2 linked regions of the Lonchura striata genome follow. The protein of the gene in region 1 purifies or fractionates together with the protein of each later gene. This does not show direct contact. Links are inferred from orthologs where the notes say so. Each region holds a gene or a part of one and is shown in the gene's direction. Other genes may lie near its edges. The genes, in order: CASP3 and CRYAB.

Region 1 (6,271 bases):
CATGTACTTTTCACAACCTTACAGCAGCAATCTTATCTCTTTTCAAGAAATAGAGCCATGCAGTAACTCTTGCTATCTTGCAACCTTTAAGTTTCCAGTCCCATAAAGTAATCCAAATGATGCAGAGTAATGTAGTAAAGCATAAACACATTTATGTACAACTATCTGTAAGTGGAACACCAGGAAATCAGTAAAAAGCACTGCCAGGAAACTGTGAAACAGAGGAAGAGAGGCAAGAAGTAACAAACACAAAGGGGAATCTTCTTGTTCTGCCCAGCATAACCACTTCATTCTTCTAACAGCTCCTGGGCTGCAGTGAAAGATAAAAATGAAACTGAGTGTACTCAAAGGTATTCAAACCTTTAACAAGCTGGATCCACAAGGCAAATTTAAGTATTTAAATATTCTTGTGGAGCCCTGAAGCCCAAATTTTAGATCCTCTCATTTCCCCCTCCAGGTTTTCCATAGCAAATCTTCCTGGAACAGTTACATTTCTGCCCACTGTTGAAGCCTGCCAATGTCTTGATAGTCAGTGCCTGAATGAAGTCTAAGTAACAGAATGTTTTTTCTGTAACAGGGGTCAAACATATTACCTCTATCCCCCTTGTCCATCTTCTGACCTGTGCATTTTCTTCACTCCTTTTCTATGCTCTTAGTTTCTTCTCTGGGAATTAAAAGTTAGATTATAGATAGCAATCAGCATTTCTCAGAAGTGCTAACAAAACTTTCAGTTTCATTTTGGCGCTGCTGGCTGTAAATTAACTAGGTGCAAAAGAAATCCCTACATCAGCATTTTCCCACAAGGTGACCATTAAAAAATGAAAGCAAAGGAGAAGCCCCATAATTCTTTATTAATTTTAAACTTTCTAGTTACATTAGGCCGTATTTTTGCAGAAACACAGCTGGGAGGACCTGAACCTGGGAGAAGAGTGATGACCCTTACTTTCAACTGAAACTATCATGGTTCTTGCAGTCCAAACACTCGATATCTCAAGAGTCCAACATGTCAAGTCTTTTCAAGGCAATTTCAATTCCTGTGTGAGCTATAACACAACACATCTACTTAGAGCACATACAGTTAACACAGATCAGCCTTCTGAGTTCACTGGGAAATTCTCACTTCATCTTCCTCTCTTATGTCCCACCAGAAGTAAGGGCAGTACTTATTTTTGTTTGACTTGACTGAAAGAAATCTTGTCACAAACATGTTTGGACTTCAGTGTTATTGACTCAGCAGGATGACTGCATGAAGAGCCTGGAAAAAATGTCTCCTGAGCAATGATTTAAAGAACTTGCTGTTTAATTTTCTCTATTTTATGGAAGACTATTCTCCCTTTACTTCTTATAACAGCAAAACGTATTACACACACCTGCAGCTCAGACATGCAAATCAACTGCTACTCAAAATAACATTACACTTGTTTCCTGGCTGGTGTGTACCATGCAACATAGTTCTATGGCAGAGTTCATGGTCCTTGACAAAAATAAATCCATGAGATTTTCTCCCAGCTACTGATTCAGCCTTAGAAGAACACATTAAATTCCTTAACATTAGTGAAAATTAGCTATCCTTACATTCATCTGATGAATGTCACATTAACAAACGCTACTCATCTTCCCAATAACAAATGTTCATCTTGCCCTCCTAATAGAGGAAGTTGCCTCTACATTTACAGAATCACAGGATGGCTCAGGTTGGAAGGGACTACAATGGGTCATCTGGTCCAACTTCCCTGCTCAAGCGGGGTCATCCTAGAGCACATGGCACAGGATTGTGTCCAGTCAGTTCCTGAGTATTTCCAGTGGGGAAGACTCCACAACTCCTCTGGACAACCTGTTCCTCAAATTAAGATTGCAAGTGCAAAACTCAGTAGATCAGACCTGGTGATAAGACCTGAAAAAGTAGGTTAGTACCTGTTATCAGAAGCTGGAATACATAGCTTCCAATGTTATCTGACTTCTGATACTGAAGGTCAGTGTACAGATATGAAACTAACTGACCTGAAAGTTGATGAAGCCAAAATCAGGCCTCAGCGTCAGAGCGCTGTTGTTCTGCGAGGCAGGTCTGTGGGCAGCCAGGGACAGCCACCACGCAGGTGGGTGAAAACCCTGTCCAAGGGAAGGTACTGCCATGGTACAAGCCAGCTCATCCATGGGGATCTCGCTCACTGAGGTCAAGAGGGGGGGCTGCTCATTTAGTTATTGTCCCCACAGATTGCTCTAGATGGCCATTTCCTTTACAAACCACCATTCTGTCAGAATCACAGAACAGTCTGAGTTGCCACCGCCAACAGTCACACCATGTACCTGAGAATGTTGTCGAAATGCTCCTTGAACTCTGTCACACTTGGTGCTGTGACCAGTTCCCTGGGAGCCTGTTCCATTGCCCAACCACCCTATGGGTGATGTACCTTTTCCTATTATCCCACCTCAACCTCCCTTCACACATCTTCAGGCTGTTCCCTCGGGTCCTGTCACTGGTCACCACAGAGAAGGATCAGTGCCTGCTCACAAGGATGCTGAAGACCACAATGAGGTCTCCCCGTAGCCTCCCCTTCTCCAGGCTGAACAGACTAAGTGACCTCAGCTGCTCCTCCTATGGTTTCCCAACGAGGAAATGCCCTTCACCATCCTCAGGGTGCCCAGAACTGCACACAGCATTTAATATGAGGCCGCACCAACATGGTGTAATATACTAGAACGCTACATTTGTTTCAGCAGGCAGAGGAACTCAAGCAACAGCGCATCGTTCACACCCAAGAGCAGCAAGGACAGCCGTACCCGGCTCAGCGCTCCGAGCGCGGTGGCTCCGCCACAGGGCCCGGCCCCGCGAGCTCTGCCAGCAGAGCAGAGCAGAGCAGCCACCCCGTGCCTCCCCAGCGCGGCCTCGCACGTCTCCCTCCCGCCGGCAGAGCCCGCAGAGCCCGCCGAGCTGAGCCCGCCGGGCCCGCGCCGCTCCCCCGGCCCGACTCACGGCCCGCGCCGCCGCCGCCGCCGGTGCGCGCCGCCCGCCCAGCGCGGGGCGGGGCCAGCGCGGCGCCGGCGGGCCGGGCGGCGGCGGCGGGGCTTTCTGTGCTCGGGGCAGCGCTCGGCTGAGCGGCGCTCGGGAAAACGCGGCTCAGAGCGCAGCGAGCAGCCGGTGAGTGAAGCCGGTGAGGGGCATTGGTGCCGGGAAGCGGCGGTGCCGGGATGCGGGCGCGGCGGCGGAGCCGAACAAAGCCGTGGGGGTGGGGGTGGACCAAGCTGTGGCTCTCCAGGGCCGCGTGGCCGCCAGCATTTGTCCCGGAGGAAGTCGGCAGCGGGGAGCAGGAGGGGAGCCGCGTTTGGCCGGGGCGGGCCGGGCTGAGCGCGCCGTTCCCCCGTCTGCCCGCCGGGCTCCCGGCCCCGCAGGCCCGGCGCTCGGGCGGTGCTGGGGCGGGTGAGCCCCGGCCTGGCCCTCGGGCCAGGCGGGAGAGAGCGCCCGCGGCTCCATCCCAGCGCCCGCGGCTCCATCCCAGCGCCCGCCGTGCCATCCCAGCGCCCGCGGCGCCATCCCAGCGCCCGCGGCTCCATCCCAGCGCCCGCGGCTCCATCCCAGCGCCCGCGGTGCCCATCCCAGCGCCCGCGGTGCCCATCCCAGCGCCCGCGGTGCCCATCCCAGCGCCCGCGGCTCCATCCCAGCGCCCGCCGTGCCCATCCCAGCGCCCGCCGTGCCCATCCCAGCGCCCGCCGTGCCCATCCCAGCGCCCGCGGCTCCATCTCAGCCCCCGCCGCTTCCCCTGCCCGGGGGCAGAGCCCGGGCCTCCGGTGTTAGCTTTCCAGAAGCTTAAGGTAGCGAGTTTGTTCCCTTTCAGCCTGTCTTTGTGGGGACGCTGTAGAAACAGAGGGCAAAGAGAAGGGGAAAAAAAAGGCGCTGTAATTCTGAGCTGCTCTCTGGTGACCACTCGGTGGACCATTAACCGGAAACACGGGGTCAGAAGCTGTATTTGGATCTTCCGAAACAAAGCGTGTTAAACCTCGTCTGTACTGACGAAAAGCATGCCTGGGGTCCTGGCAGGCACTGTGGCTAACTTTTGGTAGCAGGCAACACGCCCTGACGTGTGTTGTGTCCTGCCTGTTCCCTGCTGGGCTGAAGGATAGGGCTGGCCATCTATCGTCTGTCTGTCTTTTACTCTGTAACTCAGAGCTCTCTCCTTCAGGTATCTGCTTGCCAGGGGGTAGGTTTCAAACTAGCACACCGTGCCCTTCATGTTAAGGAGCTGATATGGCTGTTGCTTATAGCAGTGTGATTATATATATATATAGATGTGATTAATAGCTACAGGTAAATTAATAACTCCAAGGTCCCTTCTACACTTGGAGTAATTTCAGCTGATTTTACAGCTTCATGCTGAGTACCTAAAAGTCTGTTTGTTGTGGAAGATCAGAATGCTGGCCCAGTGTCAGGACTTTCCAGCAACTACATCCAGACCAGAAGCAATGGGAAAAGCTGTCTCAGTATGGGCCTGCTTCCATCTTTGGTAGCAGTATTTAGCAGGGGGATAGTGTCTCACAGAAAATGTAATGCTGTATTTCAGATGTTTTTTGTTTTTTCATATAGTCTGCTTCTGTATCTTCCTTCTCTTATTAGTCAGATAATTATTGTTTAGCATTATACATTGTAGAGGGGAAGATTTTTAATTTGCATGTCTGCATTAGTATCATGATATGTCATGTATATGTTTGTCTACAAAAAATACCTTCTTTAAATGCTTGACATTTTCTCTTGCATTCATGTGATGTAGAAAACTGCCCTTTTCCTATCTTTAAGAAGATGTTTTACATTGCTGATGTCTGTTTTGAGCATGTTTTAGCAGTGCTATACTCATTGCTTTGTAGCAACAGATATATTCTGAACATGTGTTGTTTCCTGTGGTTTGCATATTTCAGGATCCAGTTGGTAACTAAAGACAGTTTAGTTATTTGCTTTCTCCCATCTCGGAAGCTTTGGTATTTTTATCACTATATATTTTTATCACATTTCTGTTGTTCTCATTTCAAAGAAATATTGCTTTAAAAAGAAAAAACTGATGGTTTTTATGGCCACCATAAGTAACCATGTGGTAACACATGATGATGTGAATTAATTTTCTTTAGGTCCAGGTGGAATAAGTAAATCCAGGCTGCAATGGAGTAAAAAGTTGTTTTATTTATTGTTTTCCTGTCAAAAGAAAAGTATTGGAATAACTACATTTATGTAGGGGAAAAAATCTTTTTGCTCTTATTGCTGTACAGAGATGAATTGGTCATTTCTTGGTAGCTTGCAGAACATAGCTTTGAACCTTTTTGAGACACTTTATTTCTTATTACCTAGTATATGTAAAGATCATTGTAGCATCACCTTTATGTTTGCTGTCTCTGTATCATGTTTTTTTTTAATTGTATTTTTTTTCAGACTCACTATTATAAAATAAGCTTCCTAAAATCTACAGAATATATTTTGCTAGATTATAAAAATGCTATTGCTCTTTTTAATAACTTGTTTATATTTCCTTACACTTGAAACCTCGTTTTACCTAAGCTTTCAGAGAAAATATCAAAGAGCAGCATAAAAATTTGTAATAAATTTTTAAAGCACTGCAATGATTTCTTCCCCCCACACCTCCCCTCACCAGGATGAGATCATCCTCCACAGGGAAATGCATGGCATCACTGCATTACCTAAAGCAAGATGAGGCAATTCTTACTGGCCTGTTAGAATCAGCAGCATCCTCCAGAGAGCATTGCTGTGACCCTGCTTCAGAGCACAAAATGCCCTGCTGATTCAGGCACGCATTTGAGTGCCTAGGGTGTCTTTTGTTCTTTAAAGAAGTGCAGGTGACCTGGTGCCTGAGGGTGCTCAGGAACTGATGGATATTAAAAGTGAGTTATGGATTCTGTTCTGAAGAGAAACTATGCACATTTCAAATACTTAACGTGTTATAACCAGTTTTTCTAGATAATCCCTATAGCTTCTGTAAAGTCTCTGAGACAAGCTCCAGTTGTGATGGAGTGCAGGAAGCTCTAACACTTCACTGAACAACTGTAACTGTAGACTCTGAACTAGGCTTGCAGAGTAAGAAGTATTTTTATGATACAAGTTGTGATTTAAATTTTTCAGAAAGAAACTAATATAATTGATTGGAATTGTAGGTTTTGCTAGCTACTTCTTCCAGTTTCATTGTTTCTTTGATGCTGGATCAAGAACAGCAGTTTTACAGCTTTAAAATTGAAGGTTGCTAAAGGGTCAAGGAGATAAGTTTTATTTTAAGGT
Region 2 (6,271 bases), on another chromosome or scaffold:
GAGCCACGTCCCTGCCAGCTGCTGCGTGCCACCGAGCTGCCCAGAGTGCCGGCGAGCCCGGGGCTGGCATCCAGCTTGACATGTTGGGCTGCATGGGGAGAACCTGGCGGGTGCCCTGGGAGCTCTGCAGAGCAGAGCCCGCAGCCAGGGGTGGGCATGGAAACTGCTGATGGTGAAGAAACCGCCCTGAAGGGCTAAAGGCCTTTTGTGTGCCATTGTCCACAGGGCTTTCCTTGGAGCTTTTTGCCTTTTCACGCTGTTGTGCTGGTGCTGAATGGTTCTGCTGCTGCCCACATTCCTTCCCCTGGGCCAGCCATGCCCAGCTTTGTGCTGAACGCCCCAGCTCAGCTTTTCTCCACATCCCCCCGGCTGGAAAAGCTTCCCCCCCTGCCCTGAGCTTTGGCTCCATGTTTGCACAGCATGTGCACGAATGCCAGAGCGTGGCTGGCATGAGGGAGGGACGGGACGGGCAGCAGTGGGCATGGATGGGGAAGTGGACATGAAGAGAGAGATCCTGGCTGTTCCCTGGCTATTCCCTGGCTATTCCCTGGTTATTCCTTGCTTATTCCCTGGTTATTCCTTGCTTTTTCCCTGGTTGTTCCTTGCTTTTTCCCTGGCTATTCCCTGGCAATTCCTTGGTTATTCCCTGTCTATTCCCTGGCTATTCCCTGGTTAATCCCTGGCTATTCCTTGCTTATTCCCTAGTTTTTCCCTGGCTATTCCTTGGTTTCTCCCTGGCTATTCCCTGTCTATTCCCTGGTTATTCCCTAGATATTCCCTGCTTATTCCCTGGCTGTTCCCCTCTGATTTGCTCTGGGTTCCTCCACTCAAAATTCCGCAGCTCCAGCTTCCCCCTCTGGAGCTCAAGCTCCCCAGTGGGAATTCCAGCAGCCCTCCAGCAGCAGAGGGGAGAAAGGTGCAAAGAGGGGGGGATCCCACCAACTTCCTTACCTTCTCCAAAGTTCTGGTCGTAGATCTTGCTGGGGTTGGCAAACTCGTACTCAGAGCTCATGGGGTAGGCGTGGGGCACCGTGCGGGCAGCCATGGCGTGTGCAGGATGGGCACCTTCCTTCTTGCTTTCCTTCTTTCCTTCCTTCTTTTCTTCTTTCCTTCCTTCTTTCCTTCCTTCTTGCCTTCCTTCCTCTTTCCTTCTTTCCTTCCTTCTTGCCTTCCTGCCTCCCTTCCTTCCTCCCCAGCCCTCGCTGCCTCTCCGAGTGAAGGCTGCAGGCTGCCAGGCTCCAGCTGGGAGGATTCCAAAGGGAGGAGGCAGTGATAAAAAAGATGGCCCAAAATAGCCCCGTGCAGGCCCCAGGACGCCGGGCCAGGGCGGCGAGGGAAGATTCTCACTGCATTCCAGCAGGGAGGGCAGGGGACACCTCGGGGACACCTTGGGTACACCTTGGGGACACCTCGGGGACACTTCAAGGACACCTCAGGGACATTTCAGGAACACCTCAGGGACACCTCAGGGACATTTCAGGGACACCTCGGGGACCCTCTGGGGGTCCCTTCTGGAGCAAGGGTGCATGGGCAGCCCAGCCCAGCACTCAGGGCTGAGGGAGCAGGACAGACCCCAGGCTGTGGCCACCGAGAGGCTCCTTGGGGTGGCTCAGGGAGCCCCTGGCACTGGAATCGGTGGCCCTGAGCCCCCGTGGGTGGCTGGGGCTTGTTCAGCTCAAACCCCTCCTGTTCCCCACGTAAGAACCCTGCTTTGCCCAGCTGAGCTCAACTCTTCTGCTCCTTTAGGGCTGCAGGGAGTGGAGCAGGGATCCAGGTGCCACTGCTGTCACCTCCCCATGCTGAGCCCTGCTGGCTGCCCAGCCTCTTCCCTTGGCCAGGCCACGGAGAAATGCTGCTGCCAGCCATCCCCAGCTCACCCAGGCTCCGAACCTGGCCCAAATCCAGTTTTGCTGAGCAGGGCTGGTGGGCTGCTGGTGCTGCAGCAGGGCAGGAGTGCCCAGCTGGGTTCTGCACGCCCTGAAACCAGAGATTCCCTGAGCCCTGCAGGGTGGGAGAGCAGGTGCAGTGCTGCTGATGTGACGGGGACTCGGAGAGGGTATTTATGGCCTGGGCTGCTGCACAGAGCAAATCCTGCCCTCTATTCTTGCAGGCAAGCCGAGAGGAAGAGGCTCAGAGCCTTTTGCAAAGGGTTGGCAGAGCTGGCAGTGCCTCTGAGCCAGAAACTGGGTTTAAATTGTGAGCTCTCACGGGCAGAGAAGCTCTTGCCCTTCAGCAGAAGCCAGGCTGAACCCATTCCTGTGATTTGGGCTCACGGGCGAGGCAGGAATTAAAGCAAATGCACGGATTTAGGAGCAGAGCTGCAGGAAAGCAGGTTAGGCAGAGGCAGACAGAGGTGCTCGGCACCCCTGGGTGCAGTACAGTGCCCTGGAGGCCGTGACCATGCCCAGCTTCTCTCTGGGGTCACAGCGTGGGGCTCTTCCCTCCAGAACAACGCGCTCCGCAGCGGCCAAAAGACAAGAGGTGCTGGTGGGGAGACCCATCCTTTATTCCCACACACCACGAGGGCGGCAGGGCTGCACCCTGCAGTGCCAGGATCCCAGCAGAGCCCTCCTGGCACCTCCCTAGCCCCGATTTCGGGGCTCCCTTTGCCGCCGGGACCCGGCGGGTGATGCTGGAGCCGAGTCCCGGGAACAAGGGCCCCTTGTCGCCGTCCCTGTGAGCCAAAGATAGGAGCTGCATTGATCCCGCTGGCATGCAGGGCAGCTGGAACACGGGCCAAACCCGCCCGGGACTGTGGACAAACAGCACGTGGGCAGCGGGGCGGGCGCCGGGCCACTGCGGCTTCTTGCTGCCCCATTGGGCTCCTCTTCTTCCTCTCCCCTTCCCCCTCCTCCTCCTCCTCCTCGGCAGCGTGCACAAATCCCTCAGACAGCTACTGGGCACCGCCGAAGGGCCCAGCCCAGGAGTGGGACAATAAAATCCCTGACACCACTGTTCAAGAGGCCTCGGGGGGGTGGAAGGCCAGGCCAGCTGCGGGGTATAAAGCTGTCCCCGCTCCCGGCACGGCACTGCAGCACAGTTGTTGGCCAGGCTCCTCCAGCGCTCTCCAATGGATATCACCATCCACAACCCCCTGATCCGCAGACCTTTCTTCTCCTGGTTGGCACCGAGCCGTATCTTTGACCAGATTTTCGGGGAGCACCTGCCCGAGTCGGAGCTGCTCCCTGTTTCCCCCAGCTTCAGCCCCTTCCTGATGAGATCCCCCATCCTTCGGATGCCCAGTTGGCTAGAGACAGGACTCTCGGAGGTAATCTTTGCTTCTTTGTGGCTGCTGGGGGCACAGCCTGCTGGCTCTGGAGGCCCAGGAGAGCTGAGAGCTTGGAAGATGCTCCTAGGTGTTGTTTTTTTTTTTTTAGGAGAAAGGCTGGGGGAAAAGGTGCTGTGTTTGCACCTCTGCATTGCTTGGGATGGAGCAAGTCTGGCCATAGCGATGGGAACAGAGCTCAGTGTGCGTGGCAGATCACCCTAGGAGCTGGCAGAGCAAAGGAGGAAGCCTAATTTCCCTAATTTCCCTAATTTCTCTAATTTCCCTAATTTCCCAACCCGCTGCACCAAACTTTCAATCCCACTCCCACATGAGAAGCAAAGAGCACGGGGGCAGTGGGATCCTCACGCCAATGGCTGCTGAGGGAAAAGGGGCCTATTTCAGACAATCCCTGCCCAGGAAAGCAGCTTTTTAATAAAATCCAGGACCCAGAGGATCATGGAGCAGGCGCCTACTCCCTCCAGGGGCTGAGCCAAGAGGCTTTTGCCTGTCCTGCAAGTCAACTGTCTTATTTGCAAGGAGCTTGAGGAGCTATTCCAAGCAGAAGGAGTGAAAGTATTATTTTAATCCTTGCATAATGTCTTTCTTGATTTAGTGACCTCGGTCTGGCTGCCTAGTGAAGCAGCCAAAATAAAGAGTCAGCTTTAAATAAAGAGGCAGTTTTAACCAATTCTGGTGGAGAATCTCAGGTCCTGAAGTGATGGGCATTAACACAAGGCCAGCAAGGGACAGAGCCACTCAGATCAGATCCCAAAATAAGGGTCAGTGTGTGTGTGTATGTGTGTGTGTGTGTAGAGACCAGCGTGAGTCTTGACCTACTGCATTCCTTTTTAAGCTGAAACCCTCACCTGATCTTCCCTGAAGTCACCTCCTGGTTTTTGCTCTTCTCTGAAGTCACCTCCCACTTTTTTGCAGATGCGACTGGATAAGGACAAATTTTATGTGAACCTGGATGTGAAGCATTTCTCCCCTGAGGAGCTGAAGGTGAAGGTGCTCGGGGACATGATCGAGATCCACGGGAAGCACGAGGAGCGCCAGGTACCCCCTGCTTTACCTTCACCACCGAGGGAGTCACTGTGAACTCCCTCCCCTCTGGTGACTGCCAAACAATCCCCTGCTCACCTCAAATATTTGTCATTTTTTTAGTCAAGGTGCTCCATGCAATTCCCCCCAGCTGATCCCAGACAGGGCAGCAAGAGGGTGGAGGTTTATTGCTGATGTTGCATGAGCTGTGAACTGAACTGGAAAATCATCTGTGAAATGGGCATTTTTGGGCTTCCCCTCTTTCTGGGAAGAGGCCAGGAATGCAGGGAGGCGTCCAACGAGCTAAAAATTAACTCTATCAATCAAGCCACGTAATGAATCCGTGCATTGCCCTGTGTGTTACCTTCCCCAGGCCCAGCTAGCAGTTTCTAATCCTTCAAAGTTGTGTTCTGCTGCCATCCATCCCTCTCCCTGCTGGCTCTGGAGACCTGTGTGGACACTGGGCAGGCAGAAACGCAAAGCCGTGCCCAGAGCTGGATGTACCAGCATTTTCCAGTCCCCAGAGCAGCTGTGTCCCTGGAATTGGCACCCCTAGGAGCACAGCGTGCCACCAGGGAGTGCAGTGCTCCCTGTAGCACTGGGGTCTGTGATCCTGGCACCTTCCTGGCATCCTTTTTGGGCTAAGATAAGCAAGCAGTGGGGTCAGGCTTTGAGGTCTCCGGGGCAGGTGTGGTTGTGGACAGCACCTCGGGAATGCCAGCACAGAGCTCAGGGCAGCCTCTGGCTGGCACAGGGGTTGATCTAGTACCGATATCCAACTGTGATGGACAAAAACTCTCTAACAGTTTAAAGTTAGAGAGTGAGTGTTTATTGTGTGTGGGATCGCTCCCAAATCCACATTGTGCCTTACAAGTGATTACAGAGCCCTTTTATCCATACAAGTATTGAATATTTAAAATATAAATACATATTCATCATTTTGGTACATCCCATTCCTCGCTTCCTATGCTAATCATTTCAAAAAGTTATTAAGCATGCATAATTTGTTTCTTGGAATGGGTCGGTGTCCCTTCCATGGGGAGGGGTCCCAAAATGAGGAAGTCAATGAAGTCTTCCTCCTTCTGACCTTTCTACCTTTTCAATGCCAACATGACAAATGAACTTTTGGTAGAACTCCCATTCCTTGTCTTCAGTTGGTTTCAGAGCAGAGGAGGCCCACAATTGTCTGATGTTCCTAAAAGCAATTTATCAGTTTATATTCTTCATTATAAACCCAGCTAACTCAACATTGTGCTGACGAGCAATCAGTTATTAGTTAACTACTAACTCTTAACTTCATCGAGGCCTACTCATTTATTTTAATTAACTCTAGTGAGGCTTATCTCTAACTAAAATCTTAGCTCCTCTAAAATCTCTAAATCCCTTAAAGTTTCTGTTTCAGGGTGGGCACAGAACCTCCCCCTGTAAACTCGGTGTACCCACAGGCACCTGCAGCCCAGGCAGTGTCCTGCTCTCCTTGAAGAGGACACCTCATCTCCAAAACCCTTTTAACTCCCTGAAAACTTCCCTTTGAGAGCCCCAACTCCCCATCCCCAACCTTGGAGCCAACACCCCGTGGTTAAAGCAGCACCGGGCGGGGTCTCCTTAATTCAAATAATCCAAAGGCTGCGCGGTGAGGATTTTCTCCTGGATTTTTTGGGTTTTTTTTTTTTGCTCAGGACGAGCACGGCTTCATCGCCAGGGAGTTCAGCAGGAAATACCGCATCCCGGACGACGTGGACCCGCTGAGCATCACGTCCTCGCTGTCGCTGGACGGGGTGCTGACCGTCAGCGCTCCCCGCAAGCAGAGCGATGTCCCCGAGCGCAGCATCCCCATCACCCGCGAGGACAAACCGGCCATCGCAGGCGCCCAGAGGAAGTGAGCGCTGCTCTGCTGGCCCCAGGCCACCCTGCAGGGCCATCCCACTGCTCCTTCCTCCGCCACGGGCCGGCTGTACCCAA

Evidence for each region.
Region 2: the proteins of CASP3 (region 1) and CRYAB purify together in Homo sapiens (affinity purification with western blotting; 3 studies listed by BioGRID). This does not show direct contact. The link is inferred for Lonchura striata from reciprocal best matches to the Homo sapiens genes CASP3 and CRYAB.

Annotation. Positions count from the first base shown.
Region 1 is NC_134606.1:31,975,079-31,981,349, forward strand, and holds the start of CASP3 (caspase-3), read left to right. Parts: upstream 1-3,027; 5' UTR 3,028-3,139; intron 3,140-6,271. Other genes in the region: PRIMPOL (DNA-directed primase/polymerase protein), read right to left, coding at 594-612. UniProt on the Homo sapiens protein: Thiol protease that acts as a major effector caspase involved in the execution phase of apoptosis. Following cleavage and activation by initiator caspases (CASP8, CASP9 and/or CASP10), mediates execution of apoptosis by catalyzing cleavage of many proteins.
Region 2 is NC_134625.1:9,469,777-9,476,047, reverse strand, and holds the start of CRYAB (alpha-crystallin B chain), read left to right. Parts: upstream 1-2,795; 5' UTR 2,796-3,070; coding exon 3,071-3,268; intron 3,269-4,201; coding exon 4,202-4,324; intron 4,325-5,988; coding exon 5,989-6,192; 3' UTR 6,193-6,271. Other genes in the region: HSPB2 (heat shock protein beta-2), read right to left, coding at 952-1,045. UniProt on the Homo sapiens protein: May contribute to the transparency and refractive index of the lens. Has chaperone-like activity, preventing aggregation of various proteins under a wide range of stress conditions.